4 linked regions of the Rhinolophus ferrumequinum genome follow. The protein of the gene in region 4 interacts with the protein of the main gene of each other region in a pairwise test. Links are inferred from orthologs where the notes say so. Each region holds a gene or a part of one and is shown on either strand. Other genes may lie near its edges.

Region 1 (7,453 bases), on a different chromosome or scaffold from region 4:
TGCAACTGGTAACTGGCAGAGCAGGATTCGAACCCAAGTCCAGATCCTTCCCCCTCATCACACCACACACATGTCCTCAGGTAGCCAGGGGAGTTTGCTCTATTCCCCGAGTGAGACCTGAGGACACAACCGACCTGGCCCTGGCGCTGGGGGCCTGCTCTGAGCTTTGGGGCCACAGAGCATGTTTCACCTTAACCATTAGCCCCCTTCACCTGGCTCAGGGGTTCTCCTTGGAGTTGTTCAAAGACCATGTCTCTTGGGGGGACTTAGAAGCCTGGGGGTAGGTGACCTGTCCAAGGTGGTTGTCCTGGTATTTATTTAAGAAGCTTTGGAGAGTTGGCAGCTCTCTCCCAAGAGTGAAGATGGGTGCTGCTAGAAGTGTGTCGGCTACAAGAGGGGAGGCTTGTGTGTGCTTTTCACAGTGTGAATGACCACCACCCCCAAGAAGAGTCACCCCTTGACCCCTTCTCAGTTAACACCACAGGGCAGCATGGGGCCATCAGGCTTGGGAGTCTGACAGACCCGAGATGAAATCCTGGCTCTACTGATGACCAGCTGCGTGACTTTATTCAAGTCATGGAACATTTTCAAGCCCGTTTCATCTGTGAAATGGGAATGGAAACGGTACCTACTCTATGAGGGTATCTTGAGGGAAAAAACACCTCATTTCTGCAAATCTTCTTGCTCAGTGCTGGGAATGTGGTAGATGTTCCTTTCGTCTAAGAGTGGGTGTGGATGAGGTCACCCAGAGTGAGAAGAGGGCCCGCGGCAGAGCCCTGAGGAACCCCAGCATTTCAGGGTAGGCTGAGAAGACAAGCCCACATAGGAGACCGAAGAAGAGTGGCCAGAGCAGCAGAGGGAAGCCAGTAGAGTGCAGGGTCATTAAACTAAGAGAGCCAGGAAGGTGAGGACTATGAATGACCTTGGATTTGACAACAGGAGGCCACTGGTGGCCACAGTGAGGGCCCTCCAAGTGGAGGAGTTGGGGCAGAGCCAGAGTACACTGGGCTGAAGGGTGGTGGGAGGTGAGGAAGTGGAGACAGTGAAGCGTGGTGAGAAGGAAAGAAAGGAAATCAATTAGAATTGAATTTAATTAGAATGTTCCAGTCGACCTAATTTTTACTGTTTTGACATCAACCTTAGTCCAACATTATCAGAAAAGCTGGAAGGGCTCTAACCCCTCTAAGAGTTAACCCCCAGCACCGGCCTTCTTCCCACCTCTCGCTGGAACCCTATCCTCATGGAGGGCAGGGTTGGTGGGGAACAGTTATTATCTGTCAGACTCTTTAAAAATATTCACTAGGGGAAACATCAGCCTGGTTTGTAAACCTTGATTCCATTTGTAGTTAGCAAAGATGACTTTTTTTTTAATTAAAGTTTATTGGGGTGACAATTGTTAGTGAAGTTACATAGATTTCAGGTGTACAATTCTGTAATACATCATCTATAAATCACATTGTGTGTTCACTACCCGGAGTCAGTTCTCCTTCCAGCACCATATATTAGACTCTGTTTACCCTCCGCTAGAATCCCCTTCCCCCATTACCCGCTGGTAACCACTAAACTATTGTCTATGTCTATGAGTTTTTGTTCCTCCATTTGTTTGTCTTGTTCTTTTGTTGTTTTCAGTTTTATACACCACATATCAGTGAAATTATATGGTTCTCTACTTTTTCTGTCTGACTTATTTCGCTTAGCATTATAATCTCAAGATCCATCCATCTTGTCACAAATGTTCCTATATCATCTTTTTTTACCACTGAATAGCATTCCATTGTGTATATATACCACAACTTCTTTATCCACTTATCTATCAAAGGACATTTTGGTTGTTTCCATGTCTTGGCCACCGTAAATAAAGCTGCAATGAACATTGGAGCACACATGTCTTTATGGATAAAAGTTTTCAGATTTTTTTGGAAGATACCCAGGAGAGGGATTGCTGGGTCAAATGGTAATTCTATTTGTAATTTTTTGAGGAAACTCGACACTGTCTTCCACAGCGGCTGCACAAATTTGCATTCCCACCAACAGTGTATGAGGGTTCCTTTTTCTCCACAGCCTCTCCAACACTTGTTACTATTTGTCTTGTTGATGACAGCCATTCTGACTGGGGTGAGGTGATATCTCATTGTGGTTTTTATTTGCATTTCTCTGCTGATTAGTGATGTTGAGCATTTTTTCATATGTCTACTTGCCATTTGTATGTCCTCTGGAGAAATGTCCCTTCAGTTCCTCTGCCCATTTTTCAATTGGGTTGTATTTTTTTATTGTTGAGTTGTATGAGTTCCTTGTATATTTTGGATATTAGCCCCTTATCGGAGATGCTGTTTGCAAAAATCTCCCATTCAGTTGGTTGCCTCTTTATTTTTTGATGGTTTCTTTTGCTGTGCAGAAGCTTTTAAGTTTGACATAGTCCCATTCATTTATTTTAGCTTTTACTTCCCTTGCCTTTGGAGTTAAATTCATAAAATGCTCTTTGAACCCACGGTCCATAAGATTAGTACCTATGTTTTCTTCTATGCTGTTTATTGTTTCAGGTGCAAAGGTGACTCTTCAAAGCATAGTGAAACCTGGGGTGGAGGCCTCCCCCCAGACCTAGCTCAAATCCTGTTTCATGGGTCCTCATTTTAGCATCACAGTGGGAAGAAAAATGCCGGGCCGGCAGGAGACGTGGTTTGGATGCCTCTGCTCTGCTCACTCGCTGTGCAAACTGGGGCCAGCCTCTCCTCCCGCTTAGATCTGTTTCCCCTTATGCAGGATAATGAGTTGGACAGCGGTTACTTCTAAGGGTCCTGCCGGTTTTTACATTCCAGGATTTCTATTCTACAGTGCTTTAACAGTCCTTCAAGTCCAATTTCCAGATGGTAAAACTAAGGTCCAGAAAAATTCCACTCTCCAGTTTCTCCCTTCTCCTTTCTAATGCATCTTACTCACCAGAGCAAGATTCCTGAAATAATGGCTTCCACACCTCTGGTGGTTCCCCATTACCTAAGGACAATGCCTCAGCTCTTCAGTCTGTCATTTAAAACACTCCATAATCTTGTTTGACCCAACCTCATTTCCCACTGCCGGGCCTCTCTTACCATTTGGTTTCTATCCTCACTGACAAGCCTTTGCCCATACTGAACCCCAATCCCTAGTACCTTTTCCCTGACTGTCATCTCCCTCAAGGTCCAGCTTACCTGCTCTTGTGTATTTAGATCTCAGCTTCTGAGGCAGTGGGAGTGGCTGGCGGGGCACCGGGGATCAGTGGGAGTGGGAGGGGGAAAGGGTTGTGTCTTACTTATTCTGTACCTACTCCTACCCGCAGTGCTGAGCATGCAGTAGGCACTCAACAAAATTCTCAGAGAGCCTAAGGCCCCTTGTCCCGTGCTGCCCCTGACTTGCTGAATTTAAGTCAGAGCCTGTTTTAGCCACTAGGATTTTCCTAGCTTGTCCCTGCCCCAACCCAGGGCTTGGCACAAAATACCCTCAACATCGAATGCCAGGACTGGGATGGGCTTAGTGACCAGCCAGGCGGTCCATCCCCCTTTCTGCCACAGCAAGTCTATCCTGGGTTTGAACTCAAATCCTGGCCCCACCACTTACAGGCTGTGTAACCTTGAGCAAGTCACTAACCTGGCTTTGAAAAATGGGGAGACCAGCTGTGCCCACCTGCGGGGTGGGTTGTGAGGATTAAATAGTATTATACCTGTAAAGGCATAGCACTGGGCCGGCTCCTAGTAGGTGTGCCTGAGTTACTCGTCCCAGCAGGGCCACCCAGTCCTTCCTCTCAGGGAAAGCACAGTATGCCCAACGGCCACTTATCAGGATGGGGCAGGAGCGAATGTGTGTGTATGGGGGGCGGGGGGTGGGGAGGTCTGTCCTCAAAGTCCCGGACCCGATCTTGCCCGGGCCGGTGCACACCCAAGTGCAGGGCGTGGCCCAGCGGAGCCCATCCGAGGGGGGAGCGGGGCTCGGGGCGGGCGAGACCGCAGGGCGGGTTCAACCCGCCCCTCTGGGCACGCAGCCTCCCGGATTCTCCAAGCACTAGGTTTATTTGCTTTTTGGGCCCTTCTCAAGCCAGACCTCTAACCCGGATTCAGAGGCGCTTTTCAGGGTGGGGCTGTGCCAATGCGCCGCCTGCGCAGCCGCCATCACCGCGCCCCCTCCTCTGGCCCGCAGTACCCACCCCACGCTTCTCTCTCCCACCTCCACCTATGCGGCGGTAAAATGCAGCACCCGCAGGGCGCCTGCGCGGCTCTGGGGCGGGGCGGCGGCGACAGCTATTTATAGTAGGTGACGTCACCTTGAAATAGACCGTTAGGGCCGACCCGCCCTCCCCCCTCCCACTCCCGCCGCTCCCGGCTGCCCGGCCGAGCCCCTCGCACTGCGCAGGCGTCCTCCAGTCCGCCCATCCCCCACGCGCGCCCGCCTCTCCTCCTTTCGCGGCGTCCGCGGCGGCAGCCACAGCGCACGCGGCGAGCCAGAGAGAGGGCGCGAGCGGCTGCGCTGCCTGCTGCCTGAGCCTACGGCCGGCCGGCGAGCCAGTGCGCGTGCGCGGCGGCGGCCTCCGCGGCGACCGGGGCGCGGACGGGAGGGCGGGCGGGCGAGCGAACGAGCAGGGCGCGAGGCGAGGCCGAGCCACGAGCGACATGGGGGACCGGGAGCAGCTGCTGCAGCGGGCGCGGCTGGCCGAGCAGGCGGAGCGCTACGACGACATGGCCTCCGCCATGAAGGCGGTGAGCGCGCCGGGAGCGCGGGCAGCCGGCCGGGGGCCCGGCGTAGGGGAGGGATGGGAAGCCGGGCGTCGTCTCCCTCCAGGCCCGGGGCGACCCCGCGAGCCCGCTGGGCGCGGCCGCCAGGCTGCAGCCCGCACTTCCCGCGCCCGCTGGGCGTCCGGCCATTTCCTGCAGCCTGGCACGGCCGGGGTCTCTGGGGAGGGAGCCGCTCAGGGTCGCGCGTGCGGCCCCGCGGGGACTGGCGGGTGGGGGTCGCCACATGCTAGCTCCGAGCCCTGCGTGCGGCGGATGGGGTGCCCGAGGAAACGTGAAGCAGCCGCATTCTTCCTCCTAGAGCGTTCTTCCAGTCTTGGGGGCTTCTCGCCTTCCTCCACATCCCAACTTGTATTAAAGAATCACCTAATGAGTGGCGCCCTGTCTCCTGGTTTTCGTTGCCACGACCTGAAGTCTGTAATTCCAGTCTGTTTTACCGTGCTCGCCCGAATCGTGCTCGTCCCATTTTACTATGCCCGGGGGTCAGGCTTTGTGTGCGAAGACCCCCATCCTGCAGTCTAGGCGTGGATTCGGGTGGGAGGGCGGCGGGCGTGGGGCCCCACTCCCAGGTTTGATGCTGTGCCCATCTGCCTGGTGATTAAAAATGAGACGTGACTTTTAAGCGAGAAGAGCCAGTGTGCCTTTGCATTCCCGAGACCCTCACACATCGGTTCTGCAGTTTGATTCTCGGCGAAGGAGTCGGTGGCCAGCCACACCCTAACAAATTCCTTGGATTAGATACCACCTGCATTTCTAAGACTTACAGTTCCGGTTATTCTCTCACTTTCCCTGTCTCTTAACCTTATTTTACGTTTTCTCTAAATGAACATTACTTATTTCTGCGTCAAGGTCACACAGTGGTAGAACTACAACTGCCGCCACCACCGTGCTATGTTCATCCCGTGTACAACCTTCTGAGACTTGGGAGGATGATGGGCCTGGGCCCCACCTTAGACATAAAGATTCTGAAACTCTGGGGGTGGGATTCCGAAATCTGCACTTTAACTAGCTCTCGTGGCAAATTTTAGCGGGAAGTTCGAGAGCTACTTGCCTGGTTTATAGCTCATTTGCCCTTTCGCTGGCTTTGTGAGGGAATTTCTTAGAGAAAAACCTGCAAATCCAGAGGCACCATAAAAATGTCAGAATCATTTGAAAAGCTCCTATTAAGGCTTTTTACATTAATATGTGAAGTATGTTGATGTCAGTATTTAGGATTATCCAGGTAAGAAACATGCTTGAAGAGTTGTGTTTCCTGTGGTGTCCTTGTTACACTTGAACTAGGTGTGTTCTGAAACCACCACCACCGGGGCCCATTTGTTGATTCAGTGGTGACATGACATGATGTCATAGATTATATAGGAGCTTTTCATCTGAACCAGGGACAATCTGGGTTTGGGGCTGAAGTCTTTGTAATTCTGGGGACCTTATATAAGAAAAAAAATGTAAAATATATTAATTTTGGAAATTTTACAGAAACAGGACTGAATGTGTGAATTTGTTTCTTTGGAAAGGTCCCAGAGCTTTAATTTCTTTGAGATAAAGCCGCTAATGTCCACATAGCAAGTCATACCTAAGTGAGCCTCTTCTCCCCAGTGACCTGTACTGGGATTATGCAGCCAGAGACCTTTCTGGACCTTTTTAGAAAGGCCCTTGCTCACCCTGTGAGCATTAGGAACCTTTTGGGAAATAAGGCATGGGGCTTGACAGAAGGTCAATGGAGGTTAAGGAAAAATGACTAGTAGGTATGTTCTGGAGCTTAGAGGCTCTCAAGCTATTCTGAGGCAACTTGAAATGGAAGGTAAGGGAAGAATGGAGAGATGTAACCAGAACAGAATCTAGTTTGGAAAGAGAAAAAATTGGCTTTCTGGTCTTCGTAAGCAGGCTTGAAAAATGCTTTCCTACAGCTTCCTACCTGGCTCCACAGTTTTTCTCTGAGACGTTTAAGGTGACATTTTGCAAACTAATGGACCCCTCCATGTGTTGCAAATCTGTGATACCTGTATCTGAAATGATTGATGGGTTGGATAAGCCATCCAGCATTGAAAATTCAATCCAAGCTCTAATGTCATCTCAGAATTGTGATAAACCATTTTATGAAGGTAATTCCTATCAAATAACTTTCAATATATCTGTTCTATTAATTTTTTTGTCATTTAAATTAATGGAATATATTTATTGGAAAGGACGTGGCAAAGGTCAATGGGAAAGTTTATTTTTTTTTTAACCCATTAAGTTGATGTTTGTATGTTAAACTCTGAATGCTGTTGAAAAGACTCAGTCTCCATTTTATTAATATCACAGGCCTTAAGAAGAGCTTTTGGAAAGGGTCTGTCTGAATTCTAGTAACCCAGTGGGTTTATGTGGGTTTTCTTCAGGGCAGGTAAGTAGACTGCTCTCGGGAGGACAGAACAGTGCACCTGAGTGAGGGGACGTTCTGATGCCACCTCTTTGACCTTGAAATTTACCTCTTGGCTTTGGGTCCTATGAAGTGTAAAACTAGTAATGTTGGTGTTAACTATAAGTTTTCAGTCTTCATTCTTCTAACCTGTTTTCCTTTTCCCTTATAATGTAAATGGTCACCTAATATTGCCTGCCTGTAATGACTGATGTTTCTTATGCTACCAGCGTCACCTGGAGGATGGTGTCGGTAAGCTTTAAGAAAAATCTTGCGTATTACAAACGGGTGTTGCCTTCCA
Region 2 (7,701 bases), on a different chromosome or scaffold from region 4:
CGGCGCTCGCGCAGCCTAGCTTGCTGAACGGAGGGCGGGGCGACCGTGCCGCGGCGCTTCCGCTTTATACGCCTCAGCTGGTGACCGGTTCGATCTGGCTCGGGCCACCCTGACACCTTTACAGTTGCGGTGAAGGAAACTGGGGCGGTGAGGGATTGGGGGAGGGGAGGAAAGGTTCCGGCAAACAATGAGGGGGCAAGGAATACTAGTCCAGGTTCCTACCCTGCTTTCCATGTTACTACCACTTTTCCTCCTCCTCCCCGCCAGCCTTTGCTTTCTCCCCTCAGACCAAATTAAGGTAGCCGGTCTGGTGACTACATTGGTCGCGAAACACGCTTTGTTTCAGCTAAGAGGAAAACAAGCGTTAACAGAAGCCACCTGACACTTTCTATCCGAAAAATACTAAAATGGGGTCCTGCGAACCAGGCACATGCAAGTTCCCTCAGAATAGGACTGTCAGCTGAAGTTGCGCCCAGGGCCATTCGGCACCTGTAAGGCCAGCAGGAGTTTCTCCCCTCTACTCCGTTGACACCCGAAGTCGTTTTTTTCGGGGGCCAAACAAGTCGAGGTGAGGGGGCGACAGAACGTGATGTGTGTGACAGGGGCCCTGGACACCTCCAGAAGCCGTGGCATGCCAGTAGGGCGGGGTCGACCGCTCTGGAGGGACCTTTACCGGCGCACGCCGGTTCCAAGCCTCGCCCCGGCCTGCGCTCTCCCCACCCGCCGGCGCCCAATCCAATCAGAGCCTGGCATCGCCTTAGCAACAGGCTAACAAACCCGGCTCCGCCTATCGCCGGTCACCTGGGGCGGGGTCTCAGTTACCAGGCTAGTTTGAGAGGTCCCAATTTTAAGTCATTGAAACTATTCCAGGCTAGGAGCTCGTCCACGTTTTCAGGAATTGTGGGGCATCTAGTGGGGGTACGGGGCACATAATCCCACGTAATAAAACCATGGAGTAACTCATGAAACTGTTTTTTCCCCCCATAAATCGTTATTCTACTTTTACCCCATTGCAAGCCTCAACTCCTTAAAAAAACCTTTGTTTGTTCTCAACCATTTTATAGAAAGCTGCAATGTCCAGAAAGGTTCAAACACAAACTCATGTATTTGCTTTTCTGCATATACCAGGACTGTCATTAGGCATGCATTTCTTACCAGCATTACTGCTTGGAAACATTAACTAGAAATTATTTCAGGATGCAAATTACCTATGTGTAACTGCATACCTAACTAAAGAATTGATTTCATCTTAATATTTTTAAAAATAGTACATTAATGCTGTAACTGAAAGCATCCTTCATATCTACACTTGGCTTAGTTTAATTAGCATTTCCTCCGGCATGTTTTTTAATATTACAAATAAAGGTAAAAATGTGCTCTACTCTTTCAAAAATAGTCAACATTTGAACTAAATACTGCATTAAAAAGGAGAAGTACAAAATTACATAACCAGTTTTAACATTATATTCTTCTTGGTCTAGGAATTAAGTCATCGCCACCACCTGACGCGTGTAACCAATCTGCTGAGAGCTGAATAAGCGCCCCTCCTCACCACCCCCCAGAACTGGTCCGAAACAGGATTGAACCGCTTCTAACAAAGGGTGGAAACTTAGAAAAACAAGCTTAGAGTCTCCTATATTTCCACAATGTAACGATTTAAACAATCGATTGGAAACCTCAGGACCTTTTCTCCCTTTGACAACCCTTTATCTCCCTTTTCTAATCAAAAATCAAATCCAATGTGCCGAATACTTTTCAATTTCATTTGACTTGCAGGGGTTTCATTGAATGCACGTTCCAAAGTTAGGCATGATGCTCGGAAAAAAAAAATTACTGATCCTAAATGGCTTCTAAAACTGATTTAAAACCTATCATAACGACAAATACTGTCCTTTAAAATAGAGAATGTCTGATATAATTTCTAAAGGAACTGGAAAGAATAGGGGGAAAAAACACGTGGGGTGTTGATACCATATGTCAAAATAAGCCACAGAAACCCTTTATCAAAGAACAATGATCAATTCTTTGAAGTCTTGTGCGTGTCAATATTAAAAATGAAATCCACCTATTAACCCACTTAAAAATGTTATTCCATTTCTTCATTGAAGCTTAGTTGTTAAGATCTAAGGTTGCAGAGTACAAGGACAAAATCTCATATTGGACTGCATGCAGCTTTTAGCAATTCAGTTGAAAATATATTAGTAAAATTATTGAATTGGATTTAAGCAGAATGTGTAAGGTGCACATGGATTGCAAATGCGTATGGCACACACCAAGCTGGGTATAGAGGTAGTTGAATAAGTGCAGTTTGCAGTCACTTTGCAGATGCCTGCATGCATTACGACTTAACACACGATGAATGTCAAGGAGAATCCAAATCTTCCAACTTTGCTAATCTTTATCAAACTGCTGTGTGTTATGCTAGGAGTAAAATTATATTAATTCAGAAAAATTGAAAAGGTACTTTCCCAAAGAAAACAGGTTTAATGATTTGAGTAATATAAAAACTTACCTCTTTCGTGTCCAATTAAGATGTCTTTATGGTTGAAATATTCTACTTCTTCAGTGTAATTCTGTGTATAGGCAGTGTTGGAGCCGGCGTTTCTAGATTCGGTCCAGCGTACTTTCGCATGTCCTCTTGCATGAATTTTAAGCGATTTTACTCTGATTTCCCCAGTAACTTCTAAATTCACCCTTCCTGAGACTGTATCCCCACTAGAATACACAGGGACATTGCTGTCATTAAGACAGTCAAAGCTTATTGTCAAACTCTTCACCTTTCCCAGCACCATGTTTATAACAAAATCTATAAAAATATAATGTAAGACAAAAAAGTCAAGATCACATATAAAATGTGATCTTCACTTAACACTGATCGATGTCTTTGCCGTGCAAAAAGCTTGCAGGCAAGATCAGTGATTCCTTACAAATAGTTCATTGAGATTTCTTAAAAAGTCAGGGCAGCTAGAAGCTGCTGCTCCGCGCTTCTGCTAGTCTCAGTGGTCTCCTTACAAAGACGGGCGGCTGGAGGCTGCCAGCTCACTTTAAGAGCAGCTTTGTGAAAAACAACCCCGGTGCGCATGCGCACGCCGCGGCTGTTGCCCGCCCTTCTGGTGCGCCCCCTCCCGCGCCTCGCTCGCTAGTTCGCTTGTTCGTTCGCTTGCTCGACTGCTCATACAGTAGGTGTACAGCTTGGGGAAGAAGACATTGGGGCTGCTGGGAGGCTGAACCTGACTTCCCTTCATTGTGGGCTCCTATTGGTAGGCAGGCAGGCAGGCAGGCTACCGTAAACCCTCGAAGTGCTATCTGGAGCCTGTTACTGAGCACACTCTATTTAAAGATAATGGCAGAGGGGGTCACTAGGGAAGAAGGGTTGGGTGGGGAGTTGTTGGTAAAGCCAAGTAAGGATGAACTGCTGAGTGACCAGCCCCAAGCATGCGTTACAGGCACGGCAGGGTTTTGACTACCGCCTGGCTGGGAGTAGGAAAAAGTGATGATTGAAGAGCGATGGGGGAAGGGGAGAAACCGGTTGGGCAAGCGGCTGGTTGCAGAGTATAATCTAACGAATTTCAAAAGAAAACGTAATAAAACCAGACAAGGAATAATATTCTTAGACAAGAGCATTCTTGGCTTAGATTTTCTTTTTTTGAAAAGCCACTGCTTTGTAGGCAGGGTGGAAATGAACTCAGTCGAGGCCAAAGGAACCTTAAAAGAGAATACTGTAAGGAGCAAGGAAGAGAAGCAAGTATAATTTAATCAGTAGGTTTTTGCTTTTTCCTCAACTTCTTTCTCTTCCATCTCTTAATTAGATAGCAGTGAAAAACAACCAAGTTGTTTGCATGATGACACCAGGGTGAAGAAGGGCTTGACCACTTCCTCGAAGGAAGAAAAAGTTTTTTTAAGACACCACCTACAGCTGGAGTTGCAGGGTATGACATGATTATAACTCCTGTGTCCCGAGGATTAAGAATAGAGTTCGGCCTTAAAAAAGTACCACCTTATAAAAGGTAGTATGACATAGTGTTTTAGCAGACATAATGTTTACAACAAGATCGGCAAATCTTTGTTAGAAATTAGTGAAGCACATAAGATGGTATTTAAAAAACGATTTGCAATATAAGTAGGACTTAATTCTGTAAAGCTTTAATTTTCAGCCTTGGACTTTCTCAACGTAATACTCGGTACATCTTAAAGACAGATAACATTTGTCTCTTTATTGTGACTATTTTGGTAACAAATGGCAATGCTTTTTATAAAATGACACTGGGATTAAAAGCATAACAACATAAATTTACCTAGATTCTTTACAATCAGCTGCCTGTAAGAGAAACAAAAATAATATATGAATCTGGAGCTATCTATACATAACCAAATATACTTTGGAAGAGTTTGGGCTGTTCATGTCTAAAACGTTTTGCACTCTTGTGCATATATTTGGATAACTTGACCCTATGATTCACAATAAACTAAATTCATTGAGCTTGCTGTTTTCTTACTTATTTGGAGGAAACAAAATTTTATTTAGTTGGAGTTTAGTTGACAATATATTGGACTCAACAACCTTCTATGGGGATATAAATATGTAAACTATTTGTACAGTTAATGTCAGGCCGTTTATCTCTGATAGAGTTGAGATGGTTAGGCTTAGAACTTAATTTGTGTATTTCAGTGGGGGAAATAGTCTCCTTTTTTCCCTCTTGGTTGACACCTGGTGGAAATTCTAGTTGTTCAAGTACTTGGGACCTTGTACTAGCTTTGATAACAGATACTACTTGTTTTTTTTCGCCACCTAGTGGTAAAAGTAGTGAATTTGCTAAGATGTCAGCTTTTCAGCCTTAAGATCTAATACAAGTTATTAAACATTCAAGTAACACTGGGCAAGGAATAAATTTAAAAGTGCAGTACACAATAAACTTTCATTATTAAATTTGTTTTAATTATTAAGGGTTAGTGATGAATAGCTGAATTCTTCAGAATGTTTAGTAAAATTTCTCCAGTTGAAATGTAACTTATTTCTGAAGAAACAAGAATCAGCTGTTTAAATAAACTAGACTTGCATTTAACCACAAATAATTCTAAGAGATTTACTTGTAGTTTGGAAAATCGTTTTAGCACATTAAATGATTCATTCCTATCACTATATTACATTATTCTTTCTGAAACTTTTAAGATATAATAAATCATTGTCTTTATGATTTATTTTTCTATTTCTCCTTATTTTCTTTTTACTGTGTCTTTCTAAACACTTTAAAACTGACAAGTTGCCAAGAATTTCTTATCCCATATCATTTTTAAGATCCTACTCACCTACCTTAATTGTCATCTTTCTTCTCTTTGGATTTGGTCACACGACTATTTCTTAAGTGCCTAACCTTGAGTTTGCTTCATTTTGTTTTCCTCCTCCTATTTATTCAAATTATGAAAACACCAGAAACAAACAACAAACAACTCTGGTGTCTCTAAATCTATCTTATGTTTTTATTTCTAAAAGAAGAAAAAAGCAACTAAATTTTGAATGTTTTCTCTTGTGATTTTTATAACCTCCCCTTTAAAGACTCCTTATCTAAATATCAACCTGTTAGTTTGAAAAGCTGTACTGTAGCCATTCATTATCTTGGGCTTCTGGACTTGCTTCACAGGGCCCTTACTGTATTTTGCATTATATTTAAGCTATTCATGTTTACCACCAAGGCTCTTTCCTACCGCATCTCAGCCTACATCTCAAATGCCACTTCCTACTCATCTGCTAACTCTCTATACTACTGTTAAGTACATCTTCTTGACAGGAGATGTTAGCTTGTCTTTGGTAACTTTTTTCTCTCTTGCCAATGTGCAGTTACATTCTGCTTTCTGTGCTCAGAACAACACCCCACTGCTGTATTATCTTCTTTCCCTTCTTCTAACCCCTTTACCAGATTCAGTTGGCACACTGAATAAAATCAACTAGACAGAAAAACTAGCGCCTCCTCCCCTTTCTATAGCTTCTTTGGAGCTTAAATAAATAGGACTCTTCTTCTTTATAATACTTTTTTTCCTTGGATTTTTAATTCAGTGCTGTTCCACCTTACTGTATAAAGGTTCAAACTCAATCTCAAGAACTCAATCTCAAGGTGTATAATATTGAGGCAGTAATATGTCAAAATTATTGCCACATCTGGAGTTAGTTCATTACTTATTAATATATCAAAATATTCAATATTGTTATATAAAAAAAGGCAGCCATGTCAACTGAAAGTTTTGATATGTGGTTATAAGAAAAACCATATTAGCAGTCATAACCTGTTTCAAAAAAAATGTGAAATCCGTGCTTACTTCTTATTTTAACTAACACCTTGAGTACCATAGAAGTTACGGAAGTTTCTCTGGTTTGTTTATTTTTCGGTATTCTGTATTTCAAGATTTTGTAATTGACTTAAGAATTTAACTTCTTCAAAATGCAACGAATTTGACTTTGGTGTGGAGACGAGGTAAGATTTGCTATAGTGTTAGCAAAATGAGTAAGATTTGTTTTTTATATTTGATAGTTAATTATATGGTACGTTCATTGCATTCTTCATACTTAATAGACATTAAAATGTATTCTGGATTTTTGTGAGAAAATTCAATACCAAATTTGGTTTCTCTTCTTGCTCATTAAGAAATAGTGTGAAATGTGAATGTCTTTAATCTTTTATGTTTGGTTTCTTGATTTAGAATAAAATTATTCATAATTCTATCCACCCAGAGATATACCCCACTATTAACTTTTTGGTACATTTCCATCTAGAAGTACAACTAGGAAGAGCCTTGTCAGTTAAACTATGGCAATGCTTCTTAATCGTGTAGACTTCTTTGACAATATATCTGATTAGTGCCTCTAAGGGACAGTCTCTTGAATGGATTTGTAACCCACAGGGCCTGCTAAATTAGATGAATTGGCAGTTTATTTATCCAGGCTCAAGTCATATCGGGCCTGCAAAAAGAATCAGAAATGCTAAATTTCTTTTCTGAACTATTTTTATGACTTGACGTAGCCCAATTTCATGTAATTTTATGTAACGAGGGTAAAAACATTATAAGTATAATAACTAATATTTTCCTGATGATATTGAGTTCTAGTGGCAAAGTATAATTGAAAGGAACCAGTTCTCAGTTTTTTATATCAAATTCATATTTGGCTAAATGGAGTTTCATATTTCATATCTTGCTTGGAGAATGTTGTTCTTCCAATCATCTACATTTTTTCTGTTGTTGAAGAGAAATTTATTATAAATGATTTTAAGACCTAAACTTGTTATTTACAGCTACTGCCTTCTCAATGCTGTTTAATGGAAGCATTTTTCAAGGATCTGCCTCCTAAGGTTAGTTTTATTTACTGTTGTTAATTATTATCCTTATGTTACCATAACTTAAAAATTGTGAGAGAGAATTATTGCTTCTCACCCATATATGATCAGCTCAGTTTACATGTTCCTGTATTTCCTATTGTTGGGGATTTTATTTGCTACCACACTGAAGAAGTAGTTATGATGAAGGAACTGTTTGTTGTGGAAAAGTTATAAGGAGGAGGGACAATTTAAATGTAAAAGTTTGCTGAGCACTCTCTGCCTCCAGAAATCTAAGGTTTCAAATGAACTTTTGTTTTGGGGTCAAGAAATGGGTTAGGTGAAAGCTAAACCTTAAATTCACATTTTTAATCTATGACCTAGTAAATTCACATTT
Region 3 (6,863 bases), on a different chromosome or scaffold from region 4:
CGGCTGGGTTGGAGACACAGGAACCAGGAGCAACACAATTCTCAACCCTCACTGTGCTGCTTGCAGACTCAGCCACCATCTTCTTGCTAGCTCCCCCTTTTTTTGCTAGCGTAACCACAGCAGTTATATTCATGGCTAATGGCTCACTGGTTACAGCTGACGGCCAACTAGCCACAGCTGATGGCCATTTGATCACAGTCGATGGCCATTTACTACCTGAGCCAGCACCTTTCTATGTGAGGCCGAGAGCCTGGAAACTGCTTTTTGGGGCTCTGTCCCCACAAGTATGTTAAACCATCTTCCAACATACGGTAAGAGAAAACAAACAACCTTATTTTAGAGTGTTTTGCATCCTCTATCCAAAACCTACCATTATTCAGATCCCATCTTTAAAAGCTCTCTTTTTTAAACAATTGTGTACAGCTGTATTATTTTTAAAAGAAATAATCATTTCTAGCAAAGGGACTCTTTAACATAAACTCTAAGGAAAACCAATGTTCCAAAAGATGAGAACAGTCTGTTTTGCCTGCTTTCAACACGTGTAATATTTCTATAACATGCCTCTTTGAACTTACTGTTTTCTAATTTTCACCCCATGTTGTACCACCTGATTGTCTCATTTGTGCTCTTTTAATTTTTCTCTCTACATAAGCCCTTTCTTTACATTTTCAGATCCTTTAAATCTTTCAAATTTAGAGTCCAGTTTCTTTAACAAAGTTACACTAATTCCAAAATTATTATTTGTCAGTCTTTCTTTCTATTTCTAAGTCCATTTCCTACAAACTTAACACTTCACTTACCATCTTATAATAACTAGATTTAAAGCAGCTTCAGAAAAGAAACCATGGTTTATTCTGTTTTCCCTAGAGACCTAGGATAACCCAGAGCACACAGTAAGTGCCGGAAGAGCCCTTATCAAGAAGCAGCATGACATGGTGGAAAATGCGTAAACTGTGGGAGTCATAGATGTGAGTTCAGGTCTGGTTTGCCCTTTTTGTGACCGTGGTGTTAAAAAGAAAAACCACAGGCCCAAAACGGCATCACTGATGCTAAAAGCCCATGATACCAAACCTAGAGTTAACACCTATGTAATGTAATTGTAGTTTCAGTCACTCCCAGGAGTAGAGTTTTAAACCAATCATTCTGAAATTGCCTGATCCACACTAGTGAGGTAATCTGTCTGATAAGACCTCTGGTCTTCCCCTAAGGGAATGTGTCCTTACCTGAAATAACCCACTCTTACCTCCTTAGTCCCACCATATTTCTGCCTATAAAAACCTTCCATTTGTATAACCCCTCGGAGCGCCCTTCTTGCTAACTGAAATGCTGCCCAATTCATAAGTCACTTAATAACGCCAATTAGATCTCCTAATTTACTCAGCTCAATTTTGTTTTTTAACGAATGAGCAAGTTATTTAGCTTTTCTGAACCCACAGTCCCCTGCAAAATGGGGATAATACCTCACAGTATCTAGCAGAATGCCCAGAAAACACTGTGTACTCCACAAAGGGGAATTATTATTTTTTTGACAGTTTTCTCCCTACTTGACCCCTTTGCCCAAGCTTTTACACCCTGACTCGAACTCTTCCATCTCTTCATTAAAACCCTACTAACTTTAAGAGTCTAGGTGTACCTCCTCCAAGAAAAGTAGACTGCTCACACAAGCCTGTACTGAGTCCTCCCATCTCTGAAAATCTTATTTTATACTTTATTTTTATACTATATTTTATACTTTAGTTATTTATATTTTCATGGATTCATTGATTTCCTTCCCTTTGCTATCATAAGTTCTTCTAATAGAGGAACAGTCTTTTAGACGTTTTCCTAATCAAAATACAGGGTAAGTGGTCCGTGATAGGTTAGGACAACTTCCTAGAAACTCCTTGGAATTGTAATTACTCCAGAAATATCATAGGATGCTGAGAGATTTACCTTCTAATAATTCTTTGAACTGGTCTGTGATCGCTTATTCACAATTTTGAAATCCAAAAAGCTTTGAAAATCAAAATTGTTTTAACATTTGGTGGCAAAGCCTATCCTGACCTGAACTCATTTGTCAGTAAAACGTGACCTGAACTCATGGTGGCCAAGTAGCAAAACTTGATCTGAAATGAAGCAAGAATATGTGTTTTATTACTCCTACTGAGTAGTGTGATATTCATATTTTTTTCATGAAAAAAAATGTTAACTTGATTAGGGAGTGCTGCCTCAAACCACATAGGATGTCATGTAACCAAGTATACTTTTCTAAAGTCTGAAAAATTCAGAATCCTCAAATCCATCTGGCCCCAAAGTTTCCTATAAGGAATTATGGATCCATATGTTATATAGCCTTAGTATGCCGCTATACATATAATAGGCTAATTTAAAAAAAATTCAATTAAATACCAAAACGATATATATTTATGTTGCTAGGAGAAACATTAAAAATTCAAGGGATTATGATTCATAGGATTAAAGCAAGTTCAAGTTCAAGTTCCTAAATAAGTAACTTCATGAGGGAAAAGAAGGTCTAAAAATTCAAGAAATTATTAAAAATAACAAAATAAAAATACTTGCGTAAAAAATGTTTTCCCATTATCACGTTTTTATCAAGCATAGTTTTTCTGATTTCATTAACTGAAAATTGTAATTAGAAATTTATTACATGTAAATAAGTAATGTGATTAAAAAATAGTGACATCTCTTAAAATTGTGTTTATAAAGTACACTGCTATATTTATATTTAAATGACAGATATTTCCACTACTAGGAGGTTGCTACCAGTAACACCAATTATTGATGCTATCACAGTTTTCTTCATCTGTAACATAAGGAAGTTGGGACTAAATGACCTAAATTTCAGATTCTTCTGAAATTCTATAATCAAGTAGGATATACAGAACAGGACCAAGTTCAAAGATTTCAATATATAGGAAATAAATCAGTCAGCATGTATTGAGGATCTGTGTTATTGAAAGTATTGTAATCTTAATTGTGTATAAGTGAAGTTGAAATTATATGAAAGAGGATTTTGTAGTTCTGTATTTACACAGTGCTTACCGTTTAATGGGATCTAAGTATCCTTTCTTCACTGGTGATACTGCAAATTTTAGCAGGGTTTTATGGCAACCCAGGAATATGACTAGAACAGAACACTCTTGCTTCTGTGGAGTTGGGATTGAAACTGAATGCTTAATACAGGAAGTAAGATATAATAGTCAAAAGTAATTTTAGAAATTATAATTGAACAGAGAAAACAGGACAAAATTCACACAAAATAACACAGATAACAAAAGCAGTTAACAACTCATAGAAATAAGGGCAGAAAGAGGCCAATGCTGGAGCAAGAGGAAATAGGATCATAGCGCATTAGAACTGACAAACTCCTAGGTTACCCAGATTTTACAGCGAACAAAACCTTGTAAACAAGAACAGGACAGGACCAGGACTTGGGGAGAGAGCCTCGGGCGTAGGGTTTGCAGCCCTGGCCGTGTGGTCGCTCCTTCAATTCTACGGTTCTCGGTAACATGAAAAGATTCGCTTAAGATCCACGCAATGACATGCTAATAGTCCATGTACCTCTCGGCTACCCTTTCCACTTAACTGGAAAGTTACTTAATAATTAAAAAGTCAAAAATGCAAATCCAAACTGACCCTGTGCAACCAGGTCTCTGAGCGAAAACGACAAGGCCGAAGAAAGACCCAGCTGGCTGGGTCGAGGGAAAAAGCCGGCTCGGACCCGTTAGGGTAAACCTGGTGGCCGGGGGCCACAGAAGGGGGGGCGGCGGCCTTAGCCGGGAGGCGGTGTTTCAGTGCCTGCGGAAGGGGCGGCCCCGTGGGCGGAAGTGACGTGTGCCGGCTTTTGGGCCTAAGGGGGCGGGCCGTATAGCCGGTCGCTGGAGGGAGGCACCGGTGGCGGAAAAGGTTCGGCTGCTGATGGCGGCTTAGGCTCGGAAACCTCTCTAAGGCTCCCCCTCTGACCGGGAGCTCCTCACTGGGTAAGTGCTTTCCCCGGCCCAGTGCCGTGTGCCGGGCGGACCGCGGCTGGAGCTCTTTCGGAGCTCGTGAGACGCCCCCCAGCCCCTAGAGTCCAGGGGCCTTGCCGGTCTCGGGAACGGTCTCCGTGGTGACGATGCAGCCGAATGACGACGCTTTCGCTGCGGAGGACAAGCCTTTCCTCCCGGACCGTGATTGTGACGGGGATGTGGGCAACTTCGGTTCGCAGTGGAGTTGGAAAAAGCCACGGGTGGCCGCTCCACACGGCGGGGAGGCCCCGGGGTAGGCCTTCGCGATTTGGGGGAGGCGTGTGGGACGTGGGCTCTTTGGCGGGGGGCGAGTGACGCGGGGGACCCTCCAAAGAAGAAACGGTCTCGCCCGAGGCTCAACTCTGGGGTGAGTGTCTCGAGGGTAGAGGGGGCTGCCGGCGTCGTAAGCTTGGGTAGACATCTAGGTCGAGCCCAAAAAGGACGCTCGGGCTTGCGTATGCGGAGTGAAACCCAAGTGTTTTGGTTTGAGTCGCCCGTGGAGAAGGAGGCGGAGACTCGCTGCGCCACCTACATGTTGGCGGGCCGCGGGCGGAGTTAGCTGTTCTGGCCTGGTCTCCTATCTCACCTGGGACGCGGACTGACTTTCCGCTTTTCTTGGTCTGTTTATGCACGACTGCTACGCCGAGTTCCCAGGGATCTTAACAGATCTTACCCGGCGAGTCACTTCTTTGCTTAGGCAACTTTTCTGGATTTCACAACTCTTCCCTCCCCCCAACCCGACACCCTGCAGGTCCGCCGTGTGTGGACAAGTCCCGACGTGGCGTTCCTCGCTTCAGAGGATCTTGGTTAAAGAGTGTGTGTGTGTGTGTATGTATGTATGTATGTATGTGTGTATATATGTATTGATAAACGTTAATTTATTGGTAATAGTTTTTTTTGAAAACACTGGCGTTTGACTTTCTCCATTAGGTTTTAGGTTTCACTAGTAGTTGTTATTAATTACCATTATGTCAGGGATATAGATGGAAAAATAAGTCTTAATATTTCAACTCTCTGCATTCCGCTAATTGCAAAATGTCTACACACCGTGCACGAACAATAACTAATGATCATTTTGGGGCTCAATTACAAAATTACTTAAAGATTATTTGACTAAGCTGTTACTCTAAAAGTGGGCTAATTGCCCTCAAAGTGCTAGTATAGAAGGGCCGAAGCCTGGCTTTCCTTCTGTTCTCGGCGAGGATAGACTTGATTTGTCTTAGGATTACTTGCTCACGTTAGACATGACTTCTTTCAGCTTCAGAAAACATCGTATTGTAGTTTTTGTTTTCTAGTTATCACATTCTTAAATTGCACACCTCTGTTTACAATCATGCTGCAGCCATTTGTTGTAGAATTAACTAGTAAATACCTCTTTCCTTAACAAAATAGCAGGTATTTTGGAATTCTAAGTTTCAGCCTTTTAAATGGTGCTAAATATTTTTGAAAGATCCTCAGGAAGCTTTTCTATACTTTTATGGGGGAATTATCTTATGTGAAGTTTATTGGATTGTATTTTTTTGGAATTTGGATACTTCTAAGTAACATTTTGGCCGTATGCAGTTCTGGCTTCTTAAAATTTATTTTATTCCTTGCAAACCCTCCTATGGGCCAAGATCATAGCTTTTTAGGAACCAACTTTTAAAACAATCTAAAAAGTAAAAAGTGGTATTAGTGACACTTGGGCAGAGTGTAGTGCTACTCAACTGTAAAGAGTTCTGGAGATAGATTTCTGTAAGAGTGCAAATAACAGTTAGGTGGCTTTGCTTCTGCCTAGCAGAAAGATTGCTAATAGCATTTTTCTGGTCTATAAACCAGCTGATAGTCTTTGTTTGAGTTAAAGTATGAGTGATTGGAAACTAGAACGTCAGAATAGTTTTCCCTTCAGATATTTGTGTGTCCTATAGGACTGGTTTGGAGATAATTATAAAAGTTCATATATTTTTGAAGATTTAAAAAACTTCTGATAAGTTTGTCAACCATTACTTGTAATGTGTTTTTATTACTAATCTTCATTTGCTCTGGTTTTACTAACTTTTATTATGGAAATTTTCAAACATACACAAGAGGAGAACAAACAGTAAAAGGAACCACTGTTTTTGCCACTTGTTTTATTATCCCCTCTAACATTTATTTTTTTCCTCGAGTTTTTAACTAGATAATCAGGATATTTCACTCATAATTAGTTTAGCATGTTGATTGATAAGGACTTTGGAAAAAACACAATCACCACAATTATATTATCACACAGAACAAAATTACTTCTTGAATTCTAATTGTTAGAACTGGCAAATTATATAAAACATTTATTTAAATTAAAAAGCTTAATTTGATTTTGTATGTTTAATGCATAGAAGTTTTTAGTATGGTCTGTTTTTTTACTTTAGTTGACTAAGGCTTACATTTTTGGGCTATTCAGGTAAAAATATCAGGAGCTACTGAAAAAATACTATCACAAAAGCCAGATCTGTTTTGGGCTTGAAAAAGTTTTAAAAAAGTAAAGATAATATTGAAATGCCTTTTTCCCATCCAGATTTTTTTAGCTAGTTAACTGAGTGCCCACTGCATACTATTTATCTTTAAATATCGATGAATCCCCAAATAACAAAATTGGATTTTAGATCAAAGACTTTATAGTATAAGGTTTACACAACCTAACATGTATAAAGCAACTCGAGACATGTTAGAACTTCAGGGAATATATTAGGAAACATGGAAGAGGGCACTGCAGGCAGCATGTATATGCATTTCGGGCTTTGTTTCCCAGCCTAATGTGTCTGGTCCTTTTAATTCTTGACCGGAAAATTTTTATTTAGCCTCGGCTTACATCTTAATGTACCCATGTTTCTGGAGATG
Region 4 (7,462 bases):
TATACTTATTCTCCTGTTAATCTGCCTGATGTGAGTCTATTTCGTAGACCTAGCTATTGAATCTAGGAGGGTAGAGGGAAAGTCTTTCCTCCCCTACACAGTGAAGAAAGAGGAATGTAATTACGTACATCAAAAAATGTAGGCGATTGACAGTGAGTCAAAGAAGGAGCGTGTGGTACATATAATATAATGAGGTTGTTTTCTCCACCTGCCACATTGTTATTAAATCCATGCTATGTCTCATAACCATGTATTCTCAGAATCGTGGAACTATAGCAGCTTATTCTCCAGCCTACTAATGTTTGTGCTTGGAATTTCTACCTTTAAACTCTAGGAAGATCTGGTTTCAATAGAAATGTTTCTCAAGAAATGTTAACACAATAATACATTGCAGTCTGTTTTTGAAAATGAATATAAATTTCCTTATTAGATTAGCCAGTCCCAGAAAACAGGCTTCTGAGAGAATGAAAGCTGAAATCCTTTTTTTGTGGAGATGGGAGGAAAAGAGGGCGAAGAGGCAGGATTATGGGCACCCCAAACTGGACTGAGAGAATTGAAGGACAAATGAAGAGACAGGGAGTGTGCATCAAAGGCAAATTTTCACAATGGCCTGCAATATTCCAGCTAGCAGGAACTAATTTATTCCTGTGAACACCCAGTTTACTGTTAAACCCAGCACTGCACACCAGTTGGTTCCTAATAACACCCATTTCAGATCTTTCATCATTGCTCATGTTTGGTCATTAATAGCAGTCTCCACAGAAAGAGAAATGAAACCAAGAATTGAATATTTATATTCATGACGTAAAATAAAATTACTTTGCCAAGTGTTTCAGCCAAGTGTTGACAGAAAATTAAGCCAGAATTCTTGGGGGCATGAATTTTCTGACAAGTTTTAGATTTCAGCATCCCGTGCTTTCAGGCCAAGTGGGATAATAGGAGCTGTACTTGGTGTTAAACCCACTTCCTCCCTTCCACTGGAGGGTCTTTGTTCCTGTTACTAGAGACTCATTGGCTTACTTCAGTTCAGTCATTTCCCCAAGCTGGGTCTTGGTTTCTCCATTCATCCCAGGTAATACCTGTAAATAATCTGAGGTCCCTAGATAAGTAGCATTTTAGGAGACTTTGGCATTCCTATGATGATAAAATCAACGACAATATTATCCAAGTTCTCCTCGTAGTTACAGCCCACAAAGAGCTTCTACTGTCTTCTCAGAGCTAACTCTTATAGCAGCCTTCAAAGTGCAAACATTACTCTTTAGTAATATCAAAGCTCAGCCAAAGGTCATTCAAATTTGAAGCAGGATCTTAAGGACCATGTAATAACTAAACTGTCACACTTACATAAGGGCTGTTTCAAAATATGCTTAACAAGGATCTTCCTTTTCACCAGAGCACAATGCTGGGAAAGGGGAACAATTGTACCATGGACACAAAATGTTCGATTTTATTTTGACCTACGACCGCCATGCCCTGAAAGTCCATACACTCTCAGAAATACCTATGGCTATTTCTTGATTTCAAGGCTCATGAACTGTGGTTTGAGCTGAGCTAGATTTGGATCACCTTTCTAATGGCCATATCTGTCTCTTTTCAACCCGATTTCTCCTGCCTCCCACTTTCTTGGGGTGCCCATTTTCTTCATTACGTGGTACAAGCATACAGGCTCAGGCACAGGCCCACAGACTAATTCTAAGAGGTCACGTATGCTCACTGTATGCAGTTCACGATGTGCGAATGCTGTCACCATGGTGAAAATGGCACACATCTCAGGAAAGCTCCAAAATACTCCACACACACAACCTGATTTCCTCTTCCCTCTAATGAGACACTTTTTTTTTTTCTCCCATGTGTCTGCTAGGTGTTAATGAATATTCCTTCCTCTTTGCAGAGTTCTGTTCATTTTGATAAGATCTATTACAGAAAGTAAATTCCCTTACAGGCTTTTGGGTACTCTGTATCTCTTTGGCTTCAATTGAATCGGCAAATCTCCCCACATTTTGTATCTCCTTTCTCTTAAGGAGTCTCTTCTACACTCTCCTCTTCCACTCTTTCCTTCTGATTCACCACTAAGAAAATTCTTATTGGTCTTGCCCATGTGTTAAGTACCAGAAAGGGAAAAGTGTAGGGCCTGAGTCCTGATTTAGAAGGTGGAAAGGACAGTAAAAACTAGAGAAGAACAGAACGAAGTATGCCTCCTCAGAGAGACCATCACTCCAATAGTAGAATTACGGGAAATTGGGGTAGAGCAAAATTGAGGGCTCTAGACTACTCCTGCACCTCACTGCTATTACTTTGTCATGAATCCTGATAGGCAAGGTGGCGTAGCATCTACCTCAGGACAATAGAGAGCGGCAGATATGGGCCTGGTCTTTCAGGCTCGTCACTCTGGCTATTGCATTCCTAGCTCATCAAGTCAGGGAGCAGACGGCAACCAGAAAAAGGAGGCTACAGGAGGAGGTGAGCGACCAGAGCCAAGAGATGAAAGACAGCACAAGAGGAGAGCAGTCTGAGGATTAAGGATGACCTCATCTCTTAGCACCTTAAGGAGCCCGGCAAAGTTTCCTGAGGAAGGAATCAAGGCCTGTCTGGCTTCCAAACCCACATTCTGCTGCTGCCCAGGGTCCACGTTTGGCTAAGTGACAAGTGACCCTTGTGTTGTGAGGTTGGTGGCCAGGATAAAAATGGGGGCCCTGAGACTCAACCTCGAAGGATCCTTTCTGAGAGTAATGCTTTAATAGTTAAGACTTAACAGTATGGACTTGGGAGTAAGACAGGCCCAGTGCCAGTTGCGGCTCTGCCACTTACTGATTGTGTAGACTTTGGGCAAATGGCTCAAGCTTCTTTAACGTCAATTTCTAAAGCTGCAAAGTGGAGTTGTTGTGAGGTGTAAATGGCAGAATGTCTTTCAAACGCCTCGTCTAAAGATTGACATATAGTAAGGACCTGACAAACATGATGATGATGATGATACTACCAGCTTGACAATCCATTGTTTTGAGTGTTGGCAGCTAAAAACATTTGTGAACCACGAAGAGAGCAAATACCAGAAGATTTGGATTCGAAATACATTCCAGCCCTCAGTTTCACGTGACCAGCACCAGCTTTGACCATTACCGAGGCTCTGCTCTAAGTCTCCCTTTGCCAAAACATTTGCTCCACCCAGCCCCATTCCCAGTCTCTGCAGGTCCTTACTGGAGAAAGGAGCAGGTTTTTCGAATTCGAATAGTAGGAAACGCGCCTGTCCAGTATGCTGAAGTCTATAAGGGGACAACCGTACAGAATATTTCAATCTAGTTCTAGTCTAGCCATTCTGGGAAATGGGCCAACAGGGTGGTAAAAGGGCCTCATATCCCTCCCTCACGCACTTCCACTGCCCAGGTGGCTCACACCTGTTTCCACGGACACGCTCTGGATTCAGACAATGGGTTATCACACTATTTAATAAGGGAGGGGAGGGGGAGTAATTACACCCCCCCCCCGCGCCTTGGAGGTGATTATCAGGACATCTAAAAAGACTCCTACTACGGTTTTAGGGGGACATGGCAGGGACAGTAATGGACTAGAAGTGAAAAGCTACCTGAATGTGATGCCACCTGGACACCTGGTGTGTAGCAATGGACAAGGTTAAATCAATCAAGTGCGGGATGGGGTTGGCTGGTAGTTGTTCAGATTCCTAATTTTATCCAAAACCTGCCTGGTTCCTGCGAATTTTAAGGCTGCAGGGCCAGGAGGTCTGTCACCTCAGACTTGCATCCCATCAGCCTGGGGTCCCTGGCTGACAGGGACGCAGGTGGGTAAGGGAGCAAGACCGTGACTGCTCCTTTTTCTCGAAATCCCCGCGGGGGCCTAGAGTCTCGCGCTCCCCTACGAATTCATCACGTGCACAGCCCAAGCTGTTCAAACCGGCCGGAGGCCTGAGGTCCCGGACACCGGGGTGGTTTTTAGGGTTTTCTTTTTTTATTTTTCCCTTGTTCTCCACAATTGCTTTTCTGAAGAACGACTACTGAGAAAAAACCTCCTTCGTTTACAGTTCCCATAATCGCGATTTCCACATGGATGTGACGTTGGGTTCAGCTTCCGAAATGCCCAGGTGACTCACGCGGGGACACCCCGGGGCGGGGCGCAGGAGTTTCTCCGGCGGCAGGCGGGGCGGGGCGGGGCGGGGCGGCGCGGCGCGGGATGCACGGCGCCGCTCTGCGGCCGGATCGGGGCGCCGCTGCGAGCCGGCCCGCGACACTGCAGGTCACGTGACCCGCCGAGTGGAAAGTCCCTGGGTTTCGGAAATCCCCGGCTGGCCTGGCCGCGGCGGTAAAACAGAAAGGGAAAAAAGAGAACTGGCAGTCTACAGCCTGCGCGGCGGGCCGAGTGCTGAGTGCTCAGAGCCCGCGGGGGCGGAGCGGCGAGAGAGGCCGCGGGAGACCTGCGGCGGCGGCGGCGGCGGCGGCAGCGGGCGCGCTCCACACCCCCGGCCGGCCCAGCCAGCCAGCGAGTCCGGAGCCCGGGCGTCCATGGGGCGCCGCTTCCACCCGGCTCCCACCTCGACCACAACCGCTGCCTGCGGCGTTCGCCTGTGCTGACCTGGTACTTGGGACTTCGAGAGAGGATCGGGCGGCCGGGAGAGGTAACCGCTGCATCCCGGTGCAGACGGTCCGGGGCTCCTCGGGGCACGGGCAACGGATGCGCTTTTGGCGGTGATTTGCGGGCTGGACCCGCCGACTTGGCATTGGTTTTGCAGCGGTCCTGGAGGGCAGTTTGTTGGCCGTGTATGCTCATTGTGTAGGTTTTGAAATGCTGGGACTTGAGGTTGCCGCGCCAGATGTTCAGGTGACAGCCCTGGATTCCTCCAGCCAGCTATTCCTTTCAGATTATGCAGAGAACTTACACTGCAGCTGACTGGTGGAGAGTCGCCCCCGCGGCCGCTCAGTCGGGTGCTCGTTGGTGTTCTGCTCCTTTTCGTGTCTTTTTTGGAACCAAGAGCTGCAAGCTCATAGCCACGTAGACCTTGCAGAATGCTGTGGTTTCTTCCCAGATTGTGCACGACCAGTGCAACGGCGGTGTGTCTCGGGCAACAAATCCCGGCGGGGTTGGGGGCTCAGTCAGCTAACCTTTCCAGGGACAGCTTGCAGACACTGCAAAGAGTCCTGTGCAGGGGTTGGCTGGGGAGTCAGGGCAGGAGGTTCGTAGTTTTCAGTTGCAGCAGTGTAACAGAAGTGTGCACGTAGAAGTGAGTCGTTGGCCTGCCTTTTGGGGGCTCCAGTGTAGAGCGGTCTGCACGCCCCTGCCCCAGCCCCTACCTCACAGGCAGACAGTCTTTGTCAGCCCGGGTCGTCCCACATCCTGCCACCTGGCCTCTCAGGAAAGCAGTGGTATTAAGTAAGGAAGGAGCTCAGCTCTCTTGGAGACGGCTTTGTTTTCAGTTCTCCGTGCCTCTGATCTTTCCCTGGAAAGCCGGTCTGGTCAAGTGTCTCAAGGCAGCCTTTTGGGAGAACCCTTGTTATTAAAGAGTCTTCTGGACCACAGCCCTCATGGCCCAGGTTATGAGCATCCAGTCTCGGCTCCATTCTCATTGTCGAAGGTGCTTCTTTCATTCTTGCAATTCTCTGTACAATTTTTGAACATTTTCCAAAAATTCCGTGAGGTATTTGTTGATAAAAAGTTAGTGAGGTAACAGAAACTTAAAAGTGAAGGGCTGTCTTGTATGCCGTTGCCTATAAGGACATCGCAATCACAGGTCAGTCAAATTTATTCTTGAATCTTAAGTGTGGAGAAATCTAAGTCAGCGGTACTTCGGACAGTGGGTTTTGATTTCTTTTAAGGAGGCAATTCTGCGGGCAGTGCGAGGCTAAACCTGTGAATGAGATGACACCGGGCTATTGAATATTGACCATCTCATGTCTTGCATATGGTTTACAGCTCTCACTATTTGAAAGAACTTTAGGTGCAGAAGAAAATAATAGAAGAGTCAGAAAAGCAAAACTCCTGCACCTAGCTTGTTTAAAATCTTCCTATTGCCTGTCCTTTTCCATCTGGAAAAGCAGGCATTGCAACCACAGGTATGGTGCTGTGAGAATAGCAAGGGGCAGGTGTTGGAAGTCCTGGCTTCAAGGCAAAGCTCTGCTGGAGAGTGTGGGACCGGAGCATGACCTGTACTTCTGTAACCTGAGCTGCAGACTAAGATGCTTGGCTGACTTCAAGTTGGGGAGTAAGGAAGGTTGTCTTGGATTTTTAGCCCCCGAGTCAAGCACAACCTTCAATAGATGGCCAGACAGTGCTTGTTAAGTGACGGATGGACACATGGATGACATCATAAGAGAGACTTTTGCTATGCCACAAAGGGGAAGTATGTGTGATATTTTTGTCCCTTCATTGTGTTTGTGGTCCTGCTATAATTTGGCCTAATTCTACCTGCAGGCAATGGTTGACATCAAAGGAGAGATTAATATCTTACCCAGAGCATGACTTCTCCAGACCTGCTCTGGCAATCAGATTAGGGATCCTGACCCAAAGCTACTACCAGAAAATTCCTCAGGAACATTCTTGGGGTCATCTAGTCCAGTCCAGCTCTCGCCGTTGAGTGGGCCACAAGAATCCAGATCACCTTATCAATGGTTTTAAGAGAACCTAGACCCACTCAGGAGTGGCTTCCTTAATATCTAGGTTTCTTCTCTCATTTATATTGGTTTAACTTCTTTTTCAACTAGAGGCTTGGCCCTGGCAAATAGCATGATGCAGGAAACTTCTAGGGAGTATCTTCATGCTCTGAAACCATCTTTATCTTGGAAATTAGGATGTCTGGCGAGGCACCCTGCTAATGGCCAGTGGATGAGAGAGCTGGCTCTCCACACAGCTCCCCACTGCAAGGAGCCCACGTTACGTCCGTTCACATCATTCCACACTGTTGGCAAGGGTTGTGGATGCTGGTTTTGTCCCCCTCCTCTTTTATGTGTCCCTTGCTGAAATTTCTTTCCTCTTTTGTTTCCAGACTTTCATTTCCTTCCACCAGTTGATTATGTTTGAAGATTTCAGGGTGAAGACAGGGTGGGAAATATATCTGAGTATTGGTACCAAGCATGATGAAATTTGGTTGGCAGTTGCGTTGAAGTAATTGAGCTCCAATGTCTGCTCTTGGAAGTGTAGTAATTGTTCTATTACTGTTATTATTCTATTTCTTATTCTGATGTTGTAAAATTCAGTGGAGAGGTTCGAAAACTGCTGATTGTTTGCTCTTAAAATTGCAAAGCATCTTGCTGGAAATAGGCTTTTGCGTTGGTTATAAAACATTCAGTTATAACTTTATAAATAATATGATACATTTTATAAATAAACGCTTTATAAATATTTCTCTTTGGGGCTAACGAGGAAACTCGAATCAAATGCCTGTGGGACAGCATAAAATTGCAGGATTTTTCACAAAATATTTACTGTCTTTCCAGTACAGGGTTATTCCCCTCCTCCTCAA

Evidence for each region.
Region 1: the proteins of TNFAIP3 (region 4) and YWHAH interact in a two-hybrid assay, tested with the Homo sapiens proteins (2 studies listed by BioGRID). The link is inferred for Rhinolophus ferrumequinum from reciprocal best matches to the Homo sapiens genes TNFAIP3 and YWHAH.
Region 2: the proteins of TNFAIP3 (region 4) and ARRDC3 interact in binary tests that used the Homo sapiens proteins (3 or more experiments, as listed by UniProt). The two-hybrid records come from large-scale screens. The link is inferred for Rhinolophus ferrumequinum from reciprocal best matches to the Homo sapiens genes TNFAIP3 and ARRDC3.
Region 3: the proteins of TNFAIP3 (region 4) and TAX1BP1 interact in binary tests that used the Homo sapiens proteins (3 or more experiments, as listed by UniProt). The link is inferred for Rhinolophus ferrumequinum from reciprocal best matches to the Homo sapiens genes TNFAIP3 and TAX1BP1.

The regions. Positions count from the first base shown.
Region 1 is NC_046308.1:20,743,606-20,751,058, forward strand, and holds the start of YWHAH (14-3-3 protein eta), read left to right. Parts: upstream 1-4,447; 5' UTR 4,448-4,637; coding exon 4,638-4,724; intron 4,725-7,453. UniProt on the Homo sapiens protein: Adapter protein implicated in the regulation of a large spectrum of both general and specialized signaling pathways. Binds to a large number of partners, usually by recognition of a phosphoserine or phosphothreonine motif.
Region 2 is NC_046290.1:59,999,126-60,006,826, forward strand, and holds the start of ARRDC3 (arrestin domain-containing protein 3), read right to left. Parts: upstream 3,022-7,701; 5' UTR 2,793-3,021; coding exon 2,513-2,792; intron 1-2,512. UniProt on the Homo sapiens protein: Adapter protein that plays a role in regulating cell-surface expression of adrenergic receptors and probably also other G protein-coupled receptors.
Region 3 is NC_046303.1:14,033,506-14,040,368, reverse strand, and holds the start of TAX1BP1 (tax1-binding protein 1), read left to right. Parts: upstream 1-3,853; 5' UTR 3,854-3,980; intron 3,981-6,863.
Region 4 is NC_046286.1:83,811,069-83,818,530, forward strand, and holds the start of TNFAIP3 (tumor necrosis factor alpha-induced protein 3), read left to right. Parts: upstream 1-4,445; 5' UTR 4,446-4,584; exon of another isoform or gene 4,585-4,624; intron 4,625-7,462. UniProt on the Homo sapiens protein: Ubiquitin-editing enzyme that contains both ubiquitin ligase and deubiquitinase activities.